2 linked regions of the Rhinolophus ferrumequinum genome follow. The protein of the gene in region 1 interacts with the protein of each later gene in a pairwise test. Links are inferred from orthologs where the notes say so. Each region holds a gene or a part of one and is shown in the gene's direction. Other genes may lie near its edges.

Region 1 (11,788 bases):
CAGGGACAAAGTTATATTGCAAAGGAAGAACATCCAAAGTGCTAAAGCCATCTGTTGCTTTGGTACAACCTCTCACAATAGCAGAGCAGAAGGTTAGAAGATTGCATTGTCAGAAACAATTTAAAGACTTCATGGCAAGAATTGCCTTTGGAAAAGTAGGAATTTGTAAATTTATCATTAACTGTGTACCAGGCACTGAACTAAGTGCTTTTCAAATATTAATTTACAGTAACACCATGAAGTAGATGCTCCTACCGTGTTTCCCCAAAAATAAGACCTAGCCGGACCATCAGCTCTAATGCATCTTTTGCAACAAAAATTAATATAAGACCCGGTCTTATTTTACTATAATAAGACCGGGTCTTGTATTAATTTTTGCTCCAAAAGACTCATTAGAGCTGATGGTCTGGCTAGGTCTTATTTTTGGGGAAACACGGTATCATCTCCATTTGGTATAGGAAGAAAGTGAAACAGTTTAAGTAATTTGCTCAAGGTCAGACAACTAGTATATGTCAGAGCCAGCATTCAACCTAGGTAGCCTGCTTCCACAGTCCATGCTTTCACCATGTGGTCTCTGGCATTTGTCTCTGGAGCAGTTTCACTCTTCCTTTTTCTAAGAACCTTTGTGGAAATAAAGACAAGTGGTGTTTTTTGTTGTTGTTGTTTTTTAACAGGACTTTATTGGGGGAACAGTGTGTACTTCCAGGGGTTGTCCTTTCAATCTTAGTTGTGGAGGGCGCAGCTCAGGTCCAGTTGCTGTTGCTAGTTGCAGGGGGCACAGACCACCATCCCCTGCAGGAGTCGAGGAGTCAAACTGGCAACCTTGTGTTTGAGAGGACACGCTCCAACCGAGCCATCCGGAAGCTCAGCGGCAGCTCAGCTCAAGGTGCCATGTTCAATCTCAGTTGCAGGGGGCACTGCCCACCATCCATTGCGGGAGTCGAGGAGTTTAACTGCCTTGTGGTTGAGAGCCCACTGGCCCATGTGGGAATCGAACTGGCAGCCTCCAGAGTTAGGAGCATGGAGCTCCAACCGCCTGAGCCACTGGGCCGGCCCAATAAAGACAAGTTTTAAAGTGGCAACACATTTGTTTAAACCTCTGGCTAAATTCAGAATTGATTAGATTGGTACTAGTTGCCATAAAAAATGAAGTTCCAAATCTCAATAGTTTAACATAACACAAGTTCACCTCTGGCAGCAGTGGTGATAATTTGTTGGAGAGGCAGGGATGGGGAGTTCACTTTCATAACTCTAGTCAGTCATTCAGAGATGCACGCTGAGAGGCTTTGCCAGTTTCAAAATGTGGCTTCCAAGACTGCCCTATGTGTTGACATCCAGAATATGGAAGACTGCGGAAGGTAGTAGAAGTGGTTTTCATGGACCAGGCCTGGAAGTAATAAGCATCACGTCTACCTATATCACATGACCCCATCTAGATGTGAAGAGGCTGGCAACCGGAAACACTTGCTCGCAACCGGAAAACTTGGCAACTTCTTCCCAGCAACAACACACACTATGAAAAGGGGGCACATGTCTTGGATCTTCTGTCTTAGTTTGAGTTCTCCCAGAAAACAGACTTCAGACAAGACTTTTCAAGTGTTTTATTTAGTAAGGAAAGAAACACAGATAAGAGACGGGGAAGTGAGACAGGGAAAAGAAAGAATCTAAGTGAGGTACTAAAAAGTCAGTTACCACTGTGGAGACCGGAGCTTAATTCCACTGAGAAAACTCTGAAAGCCAGGGCAGAATATGCCATCCAAGGGGCATGCAAACAAGAGTTTTGTACACCAATTCTTGTTAGTCATTGTTTGAGAGTTTTGTCCATAGGTCATAACCTCTCACCCTCTGGCCTACTGTGCAGGTAGCAAAGCAGACTCCTGGTGTCAGAGAATGCCTTCATGCAAAGAAACACGGATGCTGGTAGGTTGGCAGGTAGAAGTTTCCCAATGTGCTTAAGAGCGGTATGGTTGAGAGGATATGTGTGGGATACTAAAGTTCTGCTACACGGTCTCTACCAGAATCCACCTTACGGTCCAGTGACATATGGACTGAAAACACAAGGTGCTGCCCATCCCCTAACAGCACACCTGATATACAATGGTGGAGCAGGGACAATAACTACAATATAACCCACTTTCAGAAAGGGGAATGAAGACCCATAGCTGTTGCTGGTCAGTGTCAACTGTAAAGTCCTGCTGGACAGGCACTGACTAGGTGGTTGGTTCCTCTGCTTGATTAGATTCAGATTCGCTCTGAAAGTAGCTCCTTTGCTCATTGCTCTCCAAGGTCCCTGGCACCTCCCTCTGGGAGGGTCTTCCCTTTCCATCATTCTCTCTAGACACATCTGCACGGTATTGAAGAGTTTGTGCATCTTTGGGGCTGTAGGACTTTTTACCCACTTTCTACTATGCAAGCTTGAAGATTGTATCAAAGTCCGAATACTTCAGGTTTCTGGCTTCCTTCACAAAGCTATTATCTCAAAACTTGAATAACCTGCATATCTATTTGCTTCCATTCAGTTTCATGTGGTAGTTCTCAACCTCACATATATAAGGTCAAGGGTGAGGCCTGACTGATTAGACTGGTGAAGACACATGAGACACTTTTAGATATAGATTATTACTTCCATAGAGAGCAAAACAGAATAAGCCAAAGGTGCCAGCTCCCCAGTTCCGTTTTACACCAAAAAGGATGACACTGAAAGGAAAGGGGCTGCAATGTGTGTTGTGGGAAACCCCATCTCTGAGGAGCCAAATGTCCATAGCAGCTAAGTGATTTTATATTCTGCAGCTCTATTCTGAGGGGAGCGGGGCAGAGAACCCCATACCTCATCAGAATCTGGGAGGCAATGAGAAAGTGATCACAGCCTCCTGGGGAGGCAGGAAGATGAGTGAGAGGTGCCCTCTTAGCTAGCTGTTCCTTAGAGGCTTCCCATCCTCTCACGTTCCAGCAGGATCACAAGGTGTTTGGCCAGGGGCTCAGATATACTGCCATCCCAACCTCTGCCTATATGGATCTATGCAAAGTTGCCAGAAAGACATGGTAGAGTTGTTTCCCTACAGTACAGCGTTTCTTCCAAAATAAGACTGGGTCTTATATTAATTTTTGCTCCAAAAGACACATTAGGGCTTATGTTCAGGAGATGTCATCCTGAAAAATCAAGCTAGCGCTTATTTTCCAATTAGGTCTTATTTTCAGGAAATACAGTAGTAGCCATACTCACAGTTCTCTCTAGAACTAATTTTCAAGCCTGATTGCGATCCTGGGCACAATACCTCTCTCTCAATTGATGGTGTTTACCCAGCTTGCGTGGGAGGACCATACTATTTAACTAGTTCTCTTCCACATGGATGAGCTGTAATGGACGTTTGCTGCTCAAAACGTCTCTTAAGTTTACCTCTTGTTTGCAGCACCTAGAGGCACTCAGCTTTTCCAAACTTGCAAAACCTCACATTTTTGGATTTATAAATTCTCTTTTATGTTTTCTTGCAAACAAGCCAATTCTTCCACGAGCTTGTTGTCTCTTTCTTATAATATCTGCTAAATTCAGCCAGTACCAACCAGCAAGTGCTGCTAACATTCAATTTTACCTCCTTCCCTGCACCTCAGCAGACTCTGTAGGTCTATGTTTTACCTTCCAGGTTACTGAAGACAAGAGTTTATACAAATATTTTGCCACTGCAAAGCCTATTTCTGCAGTAATAAAGATAATTTACTCACCTCATTTTAAAATCATACCTTTATTTATTCCCTTACATATTTATTCATTTATAGTACTAGAAAATATAAAACTCTCAAAAAATCTATATTTAAAATTTTGAGAAATCTTATCTATGTAGCAAAATATAACAAGAAATAGTCATATTCGCACCACCCATATTTTAAAAGTAACTATCTTGTCATATTTGTTTCCTGTTTTTTCATTCTAAAAATAGATAAATATAAATTTCCCTTTAATCTTACTCTAAGCAGGGTCTGGAGTGTCTGGTTCTAGGTGACAAAAGTGCCAAAGAAATAGGGAGGTGACCCTGAAAGCCAGGGAGGTGAGGGGGAAGTTAATCCAAACTCCACCTTCTGAGGCAGCTGCCTGAGGGCATATCACAGCTATTCCCCATTTTCACCATCTTAATAACCACAACCCATATAAGCTCTTTCACCCTTTCCTAAAAAATCTTTGTTCAAACAAACTTTAATGTGCATCACAATCACCTGGAGGGCTTTTGAAAACACAGAATGCTGGGACCCATCCCGAGTTTCAGACTCTGCAGGCCTGAGGTCAGGCCCAAGAATTTTCATTTCCAACAAATCCTCGGTGGCGCTGATGCAGCTGGTCCAGGCAGTCCATCAGATAGAGAACCACTGCTCTAGTTACTGCCCAAGATTAGGTCCCTCAGGGACAGATACAGACCCTGTCTGCCTGTGTGGAGACACGGATGGGAGATCTTGTCCCCTGGTCTCCTGTTCTAAAGACGAGGTCGACTCCCCTGCTACCCTGTTTCCCCGAAAATAAGACCAGCTGGACAATCAGCTCTAACGTGTCTTTTGGAGCAAAAATTAATACAAGACCCGGTATTATATTACATTACATTATATTATACTATATTATATTACAAAGTCCCGGTCATATAGTAAAATAAGACCAGGTCTTATATTAATTTTTGCTCCAAAAGACGCATTAGAGCTGATTGTCCAGCTAGGTCTTATTTTCAGGGAAACACAGTGTTGAAATACAGCTGGCTAAAAGCTAAAGGGTTGATTTCATTTTTCCTCATCTTCATTAGTGACATCTGTGACTCTCCTTCCATCGAGAGGCCTCCACCCAGCCCCAGAAATGTCAGGAATAGGCTCCTGTCCCGATGCTGACCTTCGTGCAGAGATGGGCAGGCAGCATGTGACAAGGAGCAATGTGGTTGGTCAGGAAGGCCAGAGGTTTCCAGTCACACTGCCTCTTCCCAAGCCCAGGTGCAACCACTTCCCAGCTATGTGGCCCTGGTCAAGTTACACAGTGCCTGAGCCTCATTTTCTCCATTTACATAACTCAGGACAATGATGCCCACATACTACAGGATTGATGGGAAGAGTAAACAGGAATAGTGTAAGTAGGAATGTAAAGTACCCTCTAAATAGTAATTATTACTACAGTTTCAAAACAGATTTGCTTAACAATTAACTATGACATCCTTTTTTTTTTTTAAACAAGTAACTTTTGTTTATTTTTAAACAAAACAACAATGGGCCGGGCCTTTACCTTTGAGCCCAGTGTTACTGTGTCTGACTCACCTTCTTTGGGTATATTCAGACATTTAGACTCAACACAGCTCATTGCCATCTTTAGGTGCTAAGAAGAAAAAGAAAAATAATGGAAGTATATGGCATTAAATTGTCACATTACTCAGTCCAAAATCATGAGATTCTCATCTCAAGAGTCAAGAATAAAATAAGAAACACTATCTAAGCAGTCTGTGATTGGTAATGAATAAGCCACGATTTTATAGTCCCATTTTACCTCCTCTTCCCTGAATCTTTGCCATTTGAACATTAGTTTCCATCCCAGAATCTCTCCTACATTCAGGAAGTTAGAGAGAAAATGATAATGCTCATTGAGGGCCCAAGAGTGGGGGAAGATGACTGAAGATCTCAGCAAAGACCCCTTTGCACTAGGTGTATAATTCGAGTCATCCTGACATTTTTCTCCCCTTCAGCATTCTTGGCTGAAAGTGGTAGGCAGTAATTACACTCTTGCTACATTAGAGGATAAAGAACCCAGTCCGCGGAGCCTGTGGACATTAAGAACGTCCAAACCTGTAGAGAATTTTTGTAAAAACTTGTCTGAGTCAAACAGATACACCTGGAAGCAAGATCTCAACAGACTGACATAAATTCTTTGAGAATAAATTCGCAATTTTTTTCATGCCTTTGAGATTAAGAAGTAAGGAAGATTACACGAAGGTGGGGGAAAGCAAGGCAAGTCGGGATCGGATTACAGGATAATTAAGATTCACTTTAGAAAGTCTGATACGAGGGCATTTCAAAGGTGTTGTTAACCTAGATGCACAAAAACAATGGACAGGGCTGCCTTAAGGCAAAGACAAGCCTTTTACTCAAGTTAGATGCCTCAGGCGTGACTACCCCTCATGACCTGCCCCCTTCGGAATTTCTGATCAGATCACCCTGTGGGGTTCCTTTCCATAGAACCCCATTTTCCTCCACAAGTCAAAGACTTGGCTAACATCCTAATTCCATCACTTACCGTCTGACCTTGGACACATCATTGAATTTCTCTAAGCCTCAGCTTCTCCGTGCCTAAAATGGAGATACTACTCCTTGCCTCACAGGGTCGTTTTGGATGATAATAAACGGTTTCTCTCACACTGCCTGGCCTACAGCAGGTATAAAATATTTCTTGAGAAAACTCTCTTTTCCCTAATTTTATTTTCCCAAAGGTTAGGACCTCCTCTGAGGTACTCCTGGCCCCCAGCCCCATCCCCTGAGCCGTGGGCGCTCGGCCAACTCCCAGGGTTGCCCAGGCCCGCCCTTCACAGCCCCAAGCCCAGGTCACCGGGCCCAAACTTACCGGCAAAGCCCACAGCCCACTGAGCGAAGGGCGGCTCTGCCACCCACCACCCCTTTGGACGACTCCACCTTCCTGCCGCAGCTGCGCACCGCGTCACTTCCGCCAGAAGAGGCGAGTTTGTCCGCGCGGTTGGCGCGAAAGTCGGTTCCAGGCCTCGCAATTTCCGGGTTTTGCGTGTTTCGGTCCGGGGGCGCCGCGGGTGTGGCGGGTGTGCGCCGGGCTGGCGCCCGACCACCGCCGCTCTCCTGCCAGCCGCGCGGCCCCCCACTCACCGTCCCCAAACCCTCAGGCTCCACCGAGGTGAGTGAGGCGCGGACAGAGGACCTTGCTTCTTTCCCACCCCAGCTGGGGGTCGCGACGCTTCCTCTGGCCTTCGGGGCCCTCGTTTCCTGCCCTTGTAACCGGCGGGTGGCACTTAAACTCCAAGGAGGACGTGGGTGCGCCTGCGCCAGGAGCCAGGCCTTTCGCTAGGAGCTGGGGAGCAAGAGCGTCCTGCCTGTTAGGGGGCATGACCTTGCTACCTGCCTTACGTGTTTATATTTAAAGTTCGTTTAGTGAGGGGTGAACAAACCTCGAGGGCTATGGGTACCCGCAGGGACAAATTCATTCTGTGTATCCTTCAGCCAAGTGCAATTGAATGTTCATTGGCCGGGGGGAGTTAGACAACCCCTCCCCCCCATAGCAAGGGTCCTCAGATGCATTCAGTTTAGGGACGTATTAGATGTATTCGTTCTCTGGTTTGCAAGGATTGGTGTTGTCATATTTCTCCTTGACTCTGCCCACATTCCAGCGTTTCTTACAACGGAGATGGCTGAATTCATGGACAAGGCCAAAATGTCTATCCTTAGGCATTCTTGTCTGCACAGAAAAATAGGTACTTTAAGCATTTAACTTCATACATAATGTGTTTTTGTTCTTGTTAATGGTTCCTTTATTTTGACAGTTTAAAAATGTCCAAAAATGACAAAGAACCGTTTTTTGTGAAGTTTTTAAAGTCTTCAGACAATTCCGAATGTTTTCTCAAAGCTCTTGAGGTAAGAACAGTTAACATCTCGATTGATCCTGTGAATTCATTTTCTTCATTTTAGTGATTTTGGTTTATTGGGCTTTTATGTCTTGGTAATAATTATTTTCATAATATGTAGTTTTACTCTACATTAATATAGATATGTCATTATATAAGTATATCAAATCTATTATGACATTTCTATTGAAAGTGGCAGACCTACTGTTCTTGGGAGTTAAATTAAGTTGCTTTCTTTTGTCTACTAACCAGAGCAGACCTTTGTGTGTTGAAAAATTTTGAGTCAGCCATGTACTGGTTACACTTCATATTTTGGGGAGGTTAATTGTTAAAAGTATGTTTGATATGTACAGTGTAATACGGGAGGACGTAGGGGTAAGGTGGAGACTTGCTGCATACAGATCCCAGCAGCAGCAGCATGGCTTGAGAGTTTGTTATAAATGCAGAGCCTTGGGCCCCAACTCATGCTTACCAATCAGAATCTGCATTTTTAACAAGATCCTCAGAGTGATGCCTGTGTACATGAAAGTTTAAGATGCTCTGTTGTAGCAGGTTTTTCTTTAAAGTTCACTCATTCAGCAAAAAATTACTGAGTGTCCATGGTCTGATAAGCACCGTTGTAGTACTTGGGATACATCAATGATCAGAGCAGGCAAAGATCCCTCCTTTCTCAGAGTTTACATTCTATTCTAGCAGGAGGAAATAGACAATCAGACATGATAAATGTGTAAACTATACAGTACTACAGTGTACTAAGTGCTTTGGGAACAGAAAAGAACAAAAACAGGTTAAGGGGTTTGGAGGATGTTTGTTGGGGAGGAAGAGAAGGAAAGGTTATAATTTTAAATAGCGTGTGATCAGGGTAGGTTTTATGGATATTTGAGTATACTTGTAGGAGGTGACATAGTTAGCTCTTTGGATATCTGAGGAAGATTTCAGCAAACAGACAGAGGCCCCTGGGAAAGTGCTTAGAGTGTCTGTCGAACATTAGTGTGACCGTAGTGTAGGGAGCAAGGGATGGAGGAAGATTAAGGGATGCTGCAGAGCGTAAGAGTGACGTGGTCATGTCGGGCCTTGTCGGCCATCCTAAGGACTTTGGCTTTTAGTTTCAGTGAGGTAGAGAGTCACTGTGGGGTTTGAATCAGAAGAGTAATGTAATCTGATTTAATTGTTTTAAAAGGATCATTCTAAGTGTCTAACATAAGGACTTTATATTTTGTTCAGAAAATATTTGAGTGCTTACTGGGTGCCAGGATGTGGTGGCAAACAAGATCATGAAACTTTCTTGTAAGGGATTAAGACAAATCTATATATATGTACATAATACCCGTATTATTTTCCTTCATGACATAGACTGGAGGAATAGGGAAAGGGTATTTTAGAAAGTATGATCAGAAAAGGTATCTCTGAGGAGGTGACATTTAAACAGGTATGATTGAAATGACAAATCAAGTCAGGTGAGGACCTGGGAGAAGAGTATTCCAGGCAGTGGGAACAAGAGCAAAGCCTCTAAATGAGGTCATGCTTTGCTTGTTCCAGTCCTAACAAGAAAGTAGGAGTAGCTAGAGATAAGCAAGAGGGTCGCGAAGTAAAAGGTAAAGGTGGGGAAACAGGCAGAGGGGCCAGACTCTCTGGTCTTATAGGCCATCATAAGAAATGTGGATTTTATTCTGAGTGTGCTGGGAAACCATTGGAGGTTTTGAGCAGAGAGTGGCATGACCTGATTTATTTTGTTAAAAAGATTGTTAGGTGTGGAGAACAGATTTAGGGCAGAGGAGAGAGAAGGTCTAAGTGAGAGGTGATGGTATTACCAATAGAAAAAAGGCTGGATTTGAGATAGATATTGAAGATAGACTTCATAGGACTTAAATACAAGTGACTAATTTTAAGTGTAATCTTACTTCATTTTTTTCTTTCAGTCAATAAAAGAGTTCCAATCAGAAGAATATCTTCAGATTATTACAGAAGAAGAAGCATTGAAGATAAAGGAGAATGATAGATCACTTTATATCTGTGACCCTTTTAGGGGTGCTGTCTTTGATCACCTCAAAAAGGTTTGCTAACTTTTAGTACATTCCTTCAGTAGTCTGTTTTTTGGTTTGTTGTTGCTTCAGTGGACATAAGTTCTTTACTGATTACGAAGTATGCAAATTATGAATACAGAGGAATCCTTTGGTTTTGGGAGACCAGAATATTTTTAAAAGCTAATTATGTTACAACAGACTTTTGTTTTATGTAATTTTTATATTTCAGGGGATTTAACTTAGTATAAGTGAACCCCATAGTAACAAAGCATTTTAGTGATGGAGTTCTGTACTTAAATTCAGAAAGATAGTGAGATATTTCAGGGAGAAATAATGAAAAGTAGGAAAAGACCTCAGCATAGTGTTTGGTTACTTCCTGTCTTTCCTACGTGCTCTTGGACACAGAATTTTAATGCCTGTGCCTTGTGTAGGGTCTGAAAAATTAGATGCTAAAAGGAAGCATTTAGAGATGAGTATTGTATATATACCAGCGAGCCATTCTATTTCTTTTTTGTTGATTCTAGAGTCTACTGACTCATTACTTTTTTTGGTGTCTGGACAAGAGAAGCACTGAAATGAAAGTAAGCTGGCTATAATTCCATCCAGATTACAAAGAATTGATTCTTGTTCGAAGAAGGAAACATAGAAGAGTAGGTAGATGAAGTATCTGTACAATTTATGGAAGGTGTGCCCACTTTTGCCAAAAGCATTGTTGGTCTTACTTTCCTTTTGGAAATACTACTGCTTGTCAGATAGAATCGATAGCATCAAAACTCAGTTTTCTTATGGCTGACCAAGAAGATAGCAATAATCATTTACCTTGTAGATATTTAAGTCAGTCATGCCATGGTGACTTTGACAACTGTAGGGTTTTCAGTCTGGCTTGAATGTTGAATGTGCTGGTGTTGAGCAAGACTTCGCTTTTCTTAACTCAGTTATCAATGAAAATGAAAGGTGATTTTTTGAGTAACCTGCAATATCATAGGCGAAGTCTTTGTGGCTCTTCCTTGGAAAGACTGAGTTGCAAAGTATTTAAAACACAAATGTAGAAACTGCCTAAGATTATATGTTTTTTTATGTGACATAAGAGGTACTTTAGAGAGGAGTTATTTAGGCTTACATTTTCAGTCTATTTCATTGGCTGGGTGCTTCATTTGAAAAATATATGTGGGCATTTCCTAATTATTTTAGCATAAGAGCACTACTCATGCCCCATTAAGATTGTTTCAAAGATTAAAATTTTGATGGTAATTTTGAGTGAGTGTAGCTCTTAGAGCTTATTTTGATAGCCTGCATTGTTTTGATTTGTTTGTGTTTTTGTGTCTAATGTGTTAGTGCAACTATTTTTTCCTTGTAACAATTTGGTGATTTTTCTACAGTTGTCATCAACTTCTATAAAGAATTGATAAATATTACAAAATGTAATAAGACTGGAGGTCTTTTCTTACTTACTGAACTTTTTCTTTTTTTATAGCTTGGCTGCAGAATTGTTGGTCCTCAAGTAGTTATATTTTGCATGCAACACCAGCGATGTGTCCCAAGAGCTGAACATCCAGTTTATAATATGGTTATGTCTGATATAACTGTATCTTGTACAAGCCTGGAAAAAGTCAAAAGGGTAGGTGTTGGGTGTTGAAGTGTTGAAGAATATCGTGATTATTATATCTGTATTTCCACACTTAATTTTTCACTGTGTAGAATATACTTTACAAATATACAGTATACAAAGTCAGTATACAACAGTGTGTATCTTTTTTATTTTTTAATAAATTGAATATAGTGGAATCTGTTTTATTGAAAACTGGCTAATTTAAGTTTTTGTTTTGATCTAAAAGGAAACTCACTTTTTCTCTATATAGTCAATGAGTTTGTGTTTGAATCACTTAGGTTTTTCCACCATAGACAGTTAATATATTAAAAAAGGAGTCTAACAGATATATAATATATAGTTTTGTGTTATACATGTAATTTACATATTTAAAAAATACTCGTGTATAGAGGCAACATAGTTTAATAACGTCATGGCATTGAAAGAGAAACATGGGAGAATAATTTGTAAGGGTAATTATTTTAAAATTTATTTATATTTCATATTTATCTTACTTGGAAAAAGTAATTTGGTTAATTATTTAACTTTATAATGGTGAGAAACCTTTGTGCATTCAG
Region 2 (11,926 bases), on another chromosome or scaffold:
TAATCAAGCAGGGAATGGAGGACATAATATGTACTTGACTCTGGCACCACCAATAACAAAGCCTGAATCCAAGTTGATCCACCCATGTGAAAAAGTGGCTGCCCGTCATCTCAGAAAGGCATATGTTTGTAAGAAGGATTTAGGTGAAAAGGTAGATCAAGCTTTTAGTTATGAAGAGTTTCCATTCATATAAAATTAACTGGGTATATCAACTTTGGTTTCACTGAAAGTAAGATTAATTTTCATCAATTCTTATGTGCCAGGCTCCGGGCTATGTACCTATGTACACTGAATACTGATCATCACACAACTCTGAAACATTACTGTGTCCCATTTTAAAAATTAAGAAACTGAGGCTGAGAAAGTACACATAGCTAATAAATCGATAAGTGCAGGAATTCATGCCCAAGTTTCACCAACTGTGAATTCAATACTTGTTCCACTATGTCCCATTAAGTGCGATACTTTATGTAAGTTTAGTGTACATAAGAACTGAAGTAGATAATATGCACACAGACACTCAGAAATAACACTATCTACATGATTGCACTGCTCAGTAAATGATACTGTAAAGACAATTAATCATGTCGTCTTAATATTTTATACAAGTATACCATTCACATTAGTTTTTCCTAAGAAAATTCATTTGTTCAACAAAACAATTCAGGACAATGCTAAATATTGTATGTGGTATTGAAATGAAAAATAATTATAATATTGTCTAATTATTCTCTCAAGGTTAAAGATTTTGGGGAATTTTCCAATTTTTTTGATCACGTATCTCTAAAGAAGTAAACCTGAGAATATACTGAAAATATATGAATAGTAATTCATTTATGAATTATATGCAGGTACTACTATAATATTTAAAAGAATGAGATTAAAATAAAAAGTTCTATCATTTGTTTCCATACCCCGATAGACAGTTTCACATATGGTAAGCTGTGCATACTCCACTGTCTTAGAAAAGAGCTTCACATCTTAATTCAGGAAACCTGTATCTACCCATTTCATGAACTTGATAATATTTACTTTCTGAAAGACCAGAAATTTAAAAATGAGACATTGCCCTGCACAAAGTAGACCTTCAATAAATTAGTTATAATTAAAAATGATTACTGTATCTTCACTTAAAATAAAAGTGTATCACTTTCATATTTACTATATACAAAAATGGATTCAGAAACAGTGGATAGTACTTGTGTTAAAAAAAAAGGCAACCTTTTGATTCTGGGATATGAAATTATATGTGAAAATGTGGGGGAAAACATTTAACCGAAAATAGACAAACCTTGTACTCTTAACCTAGAGTTGACTTCTATGAAATGTATAGAAAAGAAAATCAGGAATTGTTTGAAAAGTGTGAAACTTAACTTTATGGTTTGGCAAATCATTTAGAGATTAGCTGAATTTTAATACCTGATAGTTGGGAAAAGAAACAGGAGAAGAATAATTGTAAAGGGAGAATAATTTTGGTTTATATAGGTTTTTTGGCTTTGTGATGAAGGTAACATTTCTGAAAAGTGAGAGGTTACATTAATTGTACAGATTTTGTTTTCTGGTCCTGCATAAAAAGTAAAATCTATTTAATATTAGTAGTATTTGAATTGTTTTAGCCATAGTCGGGACATGGTATCCAAATAGACCTCTGCCAGTTCTACCACTGGATTTCTTTGCCCTGAATCTTTGGAATCTGGGCCAATGGAACTTTTGTTCTTCCTGATATTTATGCCTATCAAATGATCTAGTTTTGGATTTTGCCTATGTCCCCACTCAAATGCAAGCCCCACAAAGTTCGGAAAAAAATTTTTTTTTTTTTATCCTTCTGTTACATCCCCAGTGCCTAGAACAGCACCTGACACATTTTAACTAGCCAATATTGATTTAAAGAATGAAGCTATCCATCCTTCTGCACACCTTAAGGCCTCTGAAGGCAGAAGTGAAGAGTGAGCCTGTATGTATTAATAGATTAAGACTGCCTTCTCTGCCAACCTGAAGTCCTTCTTTAGAAGAGTAGCCGAGATGCTACAAGTAAGACTGATCCCTGTAGACAACCATGGGATAATAGTGCCCTTTCCTCTGGCAACTACTTCTCAACAAAGTGTGCTTTGTTGGTCCTCCCCATTTCTGCAAACTTTAAATACTTAACTACTTTGGGCTATAGTCTTTTCTATCCATACTCACCCTAAATCATTTAGTCTCGAGGCTTTAAATTTTTATCTCCAGCCTTGATCTCTCCCTTAACTACAAATAATATATTCAACAGCCCATTCATCATCTCCTGGATATCTAGTAGACATCTCAACATAACTGAAACCAAGCTCTAGATATCTCCCCTTCCCCACAAAACACAGCTGAGCAAAGCCACGCAGCCAAGTCAGGCCAAGATCAGACTAATTGCAGTTACCCCTCAAACCTGTGAGCAAGGAATAAATGCTCATGGTTTTAACCACCGAGTTTTGAGGTGATTTGTTATACAGCAAATACTAATCAATACTCTACCCTAAATGTGTTTCCCCAACTATCTAAAATTGTAACAACCCACAATAACTCTGATACTTCCCATCCTCCATCTCCCTTCTTTTCCTCCATAACACTTATTATTAACATTCATACATTTTATTTATAGGTCTTGTTTACTGACTATATCCCCGATTAAAATAAAAGCTCTACTTGGATAGAAATTTTTTTGTCTGAGTCACTGCTATATCCCCAGAACCTAACAATGTACCTACCACTCAAGCATTCATTAAACAAATAGTGGATGAACAAATGAACAAGTAGCCCTCTGTTCACAACTCTGGTGTAATTCCTATATTACAACATTCAGTATTTTACAAACTTTGCAATTCTCTCAAAAATATAATTCATATCTTCATTCAGTCTGATTCATCTAATATGTCTTAAACCTGGTCATGAGACATTAAAAATCTCCAATTTACTATTCAGTATTTAAGATATGGTGTGTTTTTTTTAACGTTTTCCCAGAAGAACTAAAGGAGGTAGATAGCCCTAAACTTAAGTTGTAAGATATTGAACATCTTTTGTTTAACTCCCTTAAATGTGTTTCCCCAACTATAAATAAAATACCTATGCCACATATAAATAACGGACAGCAATAAAAATGTACAGAGAATAGGAATTTTATGCCAATCCTTGAAGAATGAAGGAATTGGATACTTAGTATTTTGCTCTAAAACATACCATGTGTTCCTATATAGCATATACTATTTTTTTTAATAGCACTTATTCTGGTTTCTCTATTTCCCCCCACAGACTTTAAGCTCTTTAAAAAAGGACTAGTACTCAGCAAATATTTGATGAATGGATATTAGTATTTAAAAACTATATACTACCTAACTGGCAAAATGCAGACGCTCATTTTAGCTACTGTCTTTTCAATTTTTTGGGGGGTGGGAGCATAAAATAAAAGTTCTTCATTAAAAAAAATAGTATGTAAATATACTAAGACTTCAACTTTTAAAAAACTATAAAAAGAACAAATAAAGGAAAAATGTTTGTATACGGATGGAAATGATAAAGATAAAAGTAAAATTAGTGATTTTGAAAAAAAAAAAAGAAGAAAACCAATGTTGGTTATTGAAAAGATGAATAAAATAGACTAACAGCTGGAAAGCCCAACTAAGAAAAAAGATAACGTTAGAATGAAAAAGCAAATCTAAAATTACAAACAAGTAAAAGATTAAGAGAATTATTGGAATACTAATGCAATTCTCTATCAATTTCTTAAATCTAGAGAAATAGTTGGTTCTTAAATCTAGAGAAATGACAAAGTATTTCTAGTATTTCCAAAATCAACTCGAGAAAAGATAGAAAAAAATTATCAGATCTATAACCCTATTACAAATATAAATATTTTCTAACGCTCTAACCACTAAATAAACTATCAAGCTTAATTTTGTAGGCATTGTATACAACCCAGGAGATCAGATGATTCCTAGGTGATCTAATTATTCTATAGCACAGAAGAAAGATGAAAAACTTCCCATTTATTTTTCAAAAGTAATATATAACCAAAATTCCAAAAGAGAGAATAAAGAAAAAATTATTTTAAATCTTCATGAACATAGATATAAAATCCTGAATAAAACATTTGCAGCATAGCAAATAGTTTGTTACTACTACCGGTGTGATGACAAATTATTACACTTCTCTCTTATTTTTTTCATCTGTAAAATGGAGAACATAACAATACTTAAAAGCATGATGTGTAAGGAAGATTAAGCAGTAAGTATAAAGTTCTTAGAAAAGTGCTTGGCATATGGCAAGTGCTCAGTAAATGTTAGCTATTATTATCCCAAGAACAAAAACAACATAATCCATTGCATTACCATTTTAAAGAGAAAGTAATATATATAAATGTAAACATTTGACAATTTTTTTGCAGACATTTTGGCAAATCTTCAAGTAAAACAGGTATAAAGGGCAATCTCCTAAACACTTTAAAAAACATTTATCACACACCAATAGTACAAGTTATACTAAGTGTTAAAATACTGGTCATTTCCATTCAATTAAGTATTAAGATAAAGATGTTCAGTATCACCATGATTATTCCATGTTTTGGAGACTACACTAGGAGAGATGAAATTATTATTTGCAGATGATAATATAGCTAGAAAGTCTAGGGAGGTAAGTAAAATTCTATTAGAGTAAGAGATTTTAGTAGGTTATATAAAAGATATATCAAAAATCAGGATCTTTTTTCCAGAAGCAGCAACAAATTAAAAATGTATAGGAGAAAAAGAGAGCCCACTCACAGTAACAAAAATTATGTAACACCCAGGAATAAACTTAATGAGAATGGTACAAGACTGTAGGAAAAACTTTCTAAAATTTCACTGGATATAAAATACAACCGGAATACTTTTTATTAACTAGTTAGCAGTATCTGTTATCTTCTCAACCACTCAAACTAAAAATTTGGAAACCCTTCGTTTCATCCCTCTCACTCTTTATATCTGAAATTAGTCACTAAATCTTGCCTATTTCACCTCATATACATTTCTGAAATTTGTCACCTCTTTGCTACCTCCACTTCAGTTATCCTAGTTATCCTTTGGAAAAACTCCAGCAAATGTGATATACTCCATACTTCTAGTTTTATGTTTCTCAAAATCACAGCCCATCCAGCTGCCACAGGAATCAATTTAAAACACAAACCTAACTAGATCAGGCCCCAGTTCAAAATAAAAAAGGTCACCACTGAATTCTGAATAGAGTCCAAGCTCAAAACTAATAAGGCTTTTAGTCATCTGGACCCAGCTTCATCTCCTCCTCTTCCTCCTTTTTGAGGCTTAAAATATGGCTCTGTGTTTCCCATATTAAGATATGCAAGCATCTCTGACTAAAAAGATGCTTCTCACAGCTATCATCATGGTAGGGTATACCCTACTAAAGTTACAATATCAATTTTTGGTGATTTTTCAGAAACATTATTTTGTATTAAAATGGATATTTTATGGAAGATATACAAAAAAATGTGTGACTGCTTAAGTTAAAATGCAAGCTCAAAGAAAGATGGCACTTACAAGAAGCTTTGACCCTTTCCCTGGGCTCAAAATGGGGACGATGATGACACATTTGTCATTACTAATGAAAGTCTCACATTACCAAACTGTTATCACTTCATTTGCCAAGGAATTAAGATGTAACTAACACATGCTGAGAACATAATTATGCCAGGTCACTGTCTGCACGACCTGACATGACCTCACCTCTACTATTCTCTCAACTCCAGTGGCAGTGGTATCCTTACTGTTCCTGACACATTGTCAGGCTTGCGTTTCAGGGCCTCTGCCCTTGCCATTCTATATAGAAATCTTTTCCCCTAGAGAGTATTCCTTGCAGTATTTCCTCAAATGTTGCTTTCTCCTTCCTGACCTCCCATTTCTCTTCTTCTCAGCCACCATTACATTAGAGAAATAATTCTGCTGTTATTTTTTTTCTCCATCTCACTTTCCTTAACTGACTGTGTTTATTATTTAGCGTTTTTTTTCCTAAGAGAATGTAATGGTAACGTTTTGTTTTATTGACAGTATGATTTTTATTTTATTCACTGAATCTATTACCTAGACCAGTGCCTAGCACATTGTAGGCTCTAATTAATTATTTACTGACTGAACAATCTTATGCAACAGGTATTACTGTTAGCCAGATTTTACCTTACGAAGAGATTGAAGCAGTGAGAATCTGCCTTAGATCACACAGGAAAAGGTAGAGGTAGGAATTGTAAGCAGACAGCCTTTACCATAACTTTACCATAACTGCATGGTGCCCCTAATTTATGTGGTGAATTCCATAGGTACTGTTTAGCATATTTCCCTTAGTAGACAGTTCCTTCCCAGCAGGAGATACTTCATTATCTTTGTTCCCTTACTGGCGATGTCTAGACGTCTAGCCCACTTTACACACTCAGTAATTGTTTACAGAATGAATGAATGCATATATACATTACCCAATGATTTTTACAGGTATGTCTAATTGGTTAGATTATTTTAAGCTTTCAGATTTAATTTTAAAATTGATTTTTAATATAAAAATACACCCTGCCTTTAAAAATAGTGATGTAAGGAATACTTCCTTTGAATTGACAAAACATGATTTCTGACAAATGGTTTAATAAAAGGATATATACCGTATTCTTACAATTTTCTCCAAACTGCTTTTTAAAGCTTTATTCAACAGTAGCATACATTAAGCAAAAAGCTCCAGAACCAGCTACTCGACTCATTTAATGACATACACATGCATATTAATTATCTGTGATCAAAAGCCGTAAATGACAGCGCCATTTCCATGGACACCGAGATTTATAAAACAATCAATCACGCCAAATAAAAACAGACACCTTCACTTACAAAAACTGACGCTAATGAAATCACCCTCGGAGCAATACCCGGCCCAGGAGTCACCCGCAGGTAGCTTTCTCAAATAAGTTTGACAACGACTACGTTAAGGGTATGACTAACTTGCCACAGAATCCCAATGGCCATAGGTTTACTCTGAGAAACAAGCATTTCTGCGTACAAGGGGTGGACACATGAGCTGTTAAAAAGGGACCCCTCCCAGGCCGCCTCAAAACCTAGAGCCCAAGATTCTCCTCCTCAGAGCTCCTCACCGTGTCTAGACTAGGGGGAAGCGACCATTTCTCAGGTAGAGGATGATGCGCAAAGGAAAAACTGGCTATCCAGCGTGAAGGCCGAGGAATCAAACGAAAACAGAGCGCACTGATGAACAAGGACCCCTTGCGTCTAACTGCCCCTTCACAGCTTGAGCAGCAATCGCATTTCTCGCGAGATTCTCGTCTTCCCGGGATCTCAAAGCTGAAACCTCGCGGCTTTTCAGATCTGAAAGGACAGCTCCCAACCCACTTCACGGAATCATCAAGCTCCTCGATCTCTCTGCCCGTACTCCCCTTCCCTCCATCTCCTCGACTCCCCCACTCCCCTTCCGTCATTGACAGTAGTCAGTACCCCAGGGTGCCCTGGGGTTTCCGGAGCGTGACCGGAACCGGAAGCTTCTGGGAGCGAGGGGGTGGGGTCTCAAATCAAAAAAAGCGCGGCGAAAGCTGGAAACTCGACCTGGCTGGGTCCAGGTGGTAGACGTTTGGCGTGGCGGTGGCGGGTCTCAATGGACTCCACCCATTGCTTGAAGTCCTTGCTCCTGACCATCAGTCAGTATAAAGCCGTTAAGTCGGAGGCGAACGCTAGCCAGCTTTTGCGGCACTTGGAGGTGAGGGGCTTCGCTGTAGTAATATTTAGTTTACCGTTCTGCCGGAGTGTAGCGGCCCCAGGCTAGAATAGAAAGGACAGCTGTCTTCCTCAGCTGTCTTTTTGTCTTGGTAAAGAAGGCGAGTGAGTATCACCCTTGCGTTCCCACCCTCTTCTCCCCGCCCCTAGTCCCTCCTTGTTCAGCTGGCTGCTGCGGGAGGGTCGAGTGACTGCTGAAAGTCCTAGGAAGAGGAAGGTTGGGACACAAGATTGGGGAATTTAGGCTGTGTTTGGGGGTGGTAGAGGAGAAAGCTCAAAGCCATATCTTTTCTTTTGCTTCTTTTTTTTTTTTTTCTTTTCCGTCGTCACAGAGCCCTGACAGAAGACACAGCGATTCTCAGGGGTGAAGGTGATGGGAATGATGATTAAAATTTGTTTTATTCCTGGTCCCTTAGGCTGTTTACAGTCTGAACCTGTTCCTTCCTGCTTTTATTTTAAATTCATGTTGACCTCGAACTTGAACAATACTATTTAAACTTTCTCTGGATTAAAAGGCAATCTCACTAGTAATCATAATAATTTTTCTTTACCAAAATACATTGCTCACAGCTTTTCAGTCCTAAAATACTGAATTGCTTTCATTTTTTTATTAGTTCCCACTGATTTGTGTCTAGAGTAGTTATTCAGTGTTATAACTTTTTTTGCTCTTCATATGCTGTCATTTGTTAAGCATTGATGGAATTCCGCCTAACAATGCTCTCAGTTGAATAATAAATAATTAAGCTCAATCAAGGCTTATTTTAATTCTCTGTGGCAGCTTCTATTTACATAAAGTATATTCTATTTGTTACATGAACCCTAAATAAAAGATTAAATTACCAAAGATTAGCAAAATTCTACAAAGAGAAGGCCATTGTGAATCAGTCTTCGGTGAAAGTGGAGTGCTTTAAATGTGTCTTTGTTCTCTCGAGCTTCACTTGGTGTTCTTTCTACTTCAGGTGCCCATCTCCTAAGTACATTTTCTTTTTCATTCATTACCTCAACAAATTTCTGCAAACCTAATAAAGATGAAGGTGTTAGCTGTTAAATGCTAATGCTTTGCTTCTTAATTAAGATAAAACACTGTACTAGTGGATCCAGAAGCCACAGAGTAAGCTGGGCTGTCAGTTTTGTTGTAAGATACAGAAGTTAAGTATTTCCGATATTAATTTGAAACATTACCTCTCTGAGAATAAACAGATATGTTGTGAATCTAACTACTATGTTATTGTGAATTGAAGGAGACTTCAAAGAAATTTGAGGCTTAGAGAGTGGCTTCTTGATAGTGTTCCAAACTTTCAGGGGGTTCCAAACTGAAAAATAATCTACCATTTAGAGAGAACATACATACAATGCATAACGTGCATTAATCTTCAGTAAAGATCTTGATAGGTTGTTTTTGTTTTGTTTTTTAACATATCTATACACCCAAGTAGCTACCACCCATATCATATATAGAACATTTCCAGCCCCCTATGAGGTTTTCTTCAATGTCCCTTCTCATAAAGTTCAGAGAAGTGGACTTATACAATATGTACTTTTGTGCCTGGCTTCTTTCAGTCAGTATAATCTGAAATTCATTTGTGTTGCACATCGGCTATACTTTGTTCTTTTTTTATTGCTGTGTAGAATTCCATTGTATAAATGCACCACAGTTTATATTCTCTGGTTGATGGGAATTTGGGTTGTTTCCAGTTTGGGGTAGAATTTGAATAAATCTCTTATAAATATTTTCATACTCTTTTTGCGGCTATATGTGCACTAATTTCTTTTATATAGGAGTGAAATTATAAGTCTTAAACAGTTTATGTTCAGTTTTAGTTGAAATTGCCAATGAATTTTTCACAAGTAAATACCATTTACCTTCCCACAACCAATATATGAAATTTGCTGTCATTCATCCACACCGATCTTTGGTGTTTTCAGATTTTTAAATTTCCACCATTTTGGTGATGATATTAATGGTGAATATCTTTGCGCAGACCTCATGAGAGCAACATGAGGATACAAAGAGAGACAGTTATCCTGTGAAAGAAGATTATTCATTCTGCTATTTTGCTGCATGTCTTCTGCTATATTTTTTCTTTATAGTCCCATGCAGAATCCCAGCTTTGAATTGTTTTGTGAAGGCAGAGCTGAACTGGTCTCAATCTTGATGATTTTTCATAGCACTAATCTTACATAATGTTTATGAGCATGGATTCAGGAACAATGAATCCCAATTTTGCTACTATCTCATTGTGTTTACTCATCTGCACTATAACTAGCCCCTATCTTGCAGGTTATGAAGATGAAAAGAATTAACATAATGTACCTAAAACAATGCCTAGGCCAAAGTAAGTGCTAAAGTATTAGTTATTACTGAAATAAATTATATTTGCCTAAAGCATTCAATGGGTATGAATGAGTAAAGAAGAAAATTTGTAAAGCAGTTTTAAAATGTACCTTGTAATAATTATTACATGTTAGAGTACTTATGTTATTGAATTACAAATCCAGTTCTGAGGGAAATTGTATTTAAAGCAGAAAATGTCTTAATCTTCTAGAGGACTAGCTTTATAAGTAGGCAAAAGAGCAATGTTCAGAAGATTCCTTACCGCAAAATATCTACTATCAGTATCTAATTTAACTTTTGGACCTATTTTTCAGTCTCACAGACTTTGTCTTTAATGTTAAAACACATAGTCCTTGGGAAAAAGATACTCTGAAGTTCTCTTATCAGCAAAGCTTTAGAAGAAAAACTCATCTAGGTGAGGGAATGAAAGGACATAGAAAGGAAAGATTAGAGGGAATCTAAAATAGCCTGCTTAGACTTGATCTTTTAAAAATGAAAACATTTAGAACAGATTTAATATAATTCTGAAGTAACTAATTGTTCTTCCATTTTTATAGAAAAGACGTGCTTAATAATAAATAACATTCAAAAAGCATTTTGAAAATAGGTGTCTGACAACTGTTTTTGTCCTTCAATCCCAGCTTTACCTTTTCAAGGGGTAAGGGGGAGAGTGGTTTGTACGGTTGTAAGAGAGGAGTAAAAAGTGGAATAACCAAAGGTAAAGTTTGTGCCTGACTTGGCCACTTAAAAAAATTTTTTTTTACTGCCTTTTTTGTAATTTCTAGCTTCTGGACTCAGCTACTATCTTTGGGAGGGAGCAGAAGTAATCTGGAATTTAATCCCATAGCTAAGCCTTTGGATTTAGCTACTTTTTACTTTCTATTGCCTCCCTCAAAGTAGGTGGAATGAATGTACTGGAATTCATTTATTCAATAAATATATTAATAGTAGAGTGTTGATTTGTAGTCTATGCCTTTATGGAGTGTTCAGTATAGTAGGGAGGATAAATACTATTAGGTCGCCAAAAGTTTGCCAGTTTATGAAACGTACTATAGGATAATGTAATAGGCAAATCTAACCTAGCTGGTAGAAGAGGGTTAGAGGAAGCTTCTTGGAGGAAACAAATTAAAACTGAAACCTGAGTGATTACATTAATTAGTGAGAAAGGGATTGGTAATATTCAGGCAGAGGAAACAGAATGTATGAATTTTCTAAATTAGGAAAGAATGGCCGTGGCACTTTGGAAGAACTAAGTTTTTATTAGAAATGGTAAAGGGAAGAAAACTGCCAATTTTTAACTAACGCATTTTAATTACTATTTTGTAGGTAATTTCTGGACAGAAGCTCACACGATTATTTACATCAAATCAGATATTACCAAGTGAATGCCTGAGTTGCCTTGTAGAGCTACTTGAAGACCCAAACATAAGTGCACCATTGATCTTAAGTATTATCAGTTTGTTGTCTCAACTAGGTAATGTATTTAGTTTCTCTTTTTCAGTTTTTAGAAAATGTATGAATTTAATATTTTTAAGAGGCAAAATTTAGGCATAGAATCTTTCAGCGAATGATTCACATTCAGAAGATTTCTTCTTTGCAGGTCCTTTCAGAACTATTTTTCTTTGTGGATCTCTTGAAAAGGGAATCTTGTATGCATTCTTTCTTAAAATTATTGGAACAAAGAATCTGAAGCGTATCAAAGCTTCATTGTGGTCTACACAAAAGAATGTGTGCTCCTTGGGAAATGCTGACCTACTTTTGAATTTTAAAAAGAGAACATGTACATAATTCCAATATTAAAAACACTACTCAGAAAACT

The links.
Region 2: the proteins of TOPBP1 (region 1) and CIP2A interact in a two-hybrid assay, tested with the Homo sapiens proteins (2 studies listed by BioGRID). The link is inferred for Rhinolophus ferrumequinum from reciprocal best matches to the Homo sapiens genes TOPBP1 and CIP2A.

Annotation. Positions count from the first base shown.
Region 1 is NC_046300.1:33,940,302-33,952,089, reverse strand, and holds the start of TOPBP1 (DNA topoisomerase 2-binding protein 1), read left to right. Parts: upstream 1-6,729; 5' UTR 6,730-6,874; intron 6,875-7,400; exon of another isoform or gene 7,401-7,448; intron 7,449-7,517; 5' UTR 7,518-7,524; coding exon 7,525-7,608; intron 7,609-9,517; coding exon 9,518-9,652; intron 9,653-11,096; coding exon 11,097-11,240; intron 11,241-11,788. UniProt on the Homo sapiens protein: Scaffold protein that acts as a key protein-protein adapter in DNA replication and DNA repair. Composed of multiple BRCT domains, which specifically recognize and bind phosphorylated proteins, bringing proteins together into functional combinations.
Region 2 is NC_046285.1:36,204,324-36,216,249, reverse strand, and holds the start of CIP2A (protein CIP2A), read left to right. Parts: upstream 1-7,447; 5' UTR 7,448-7,653; coding exon 7,654-7,755; intron 7,756-11,433; coding exon 11,434-11,581; intron 11,582-11,926.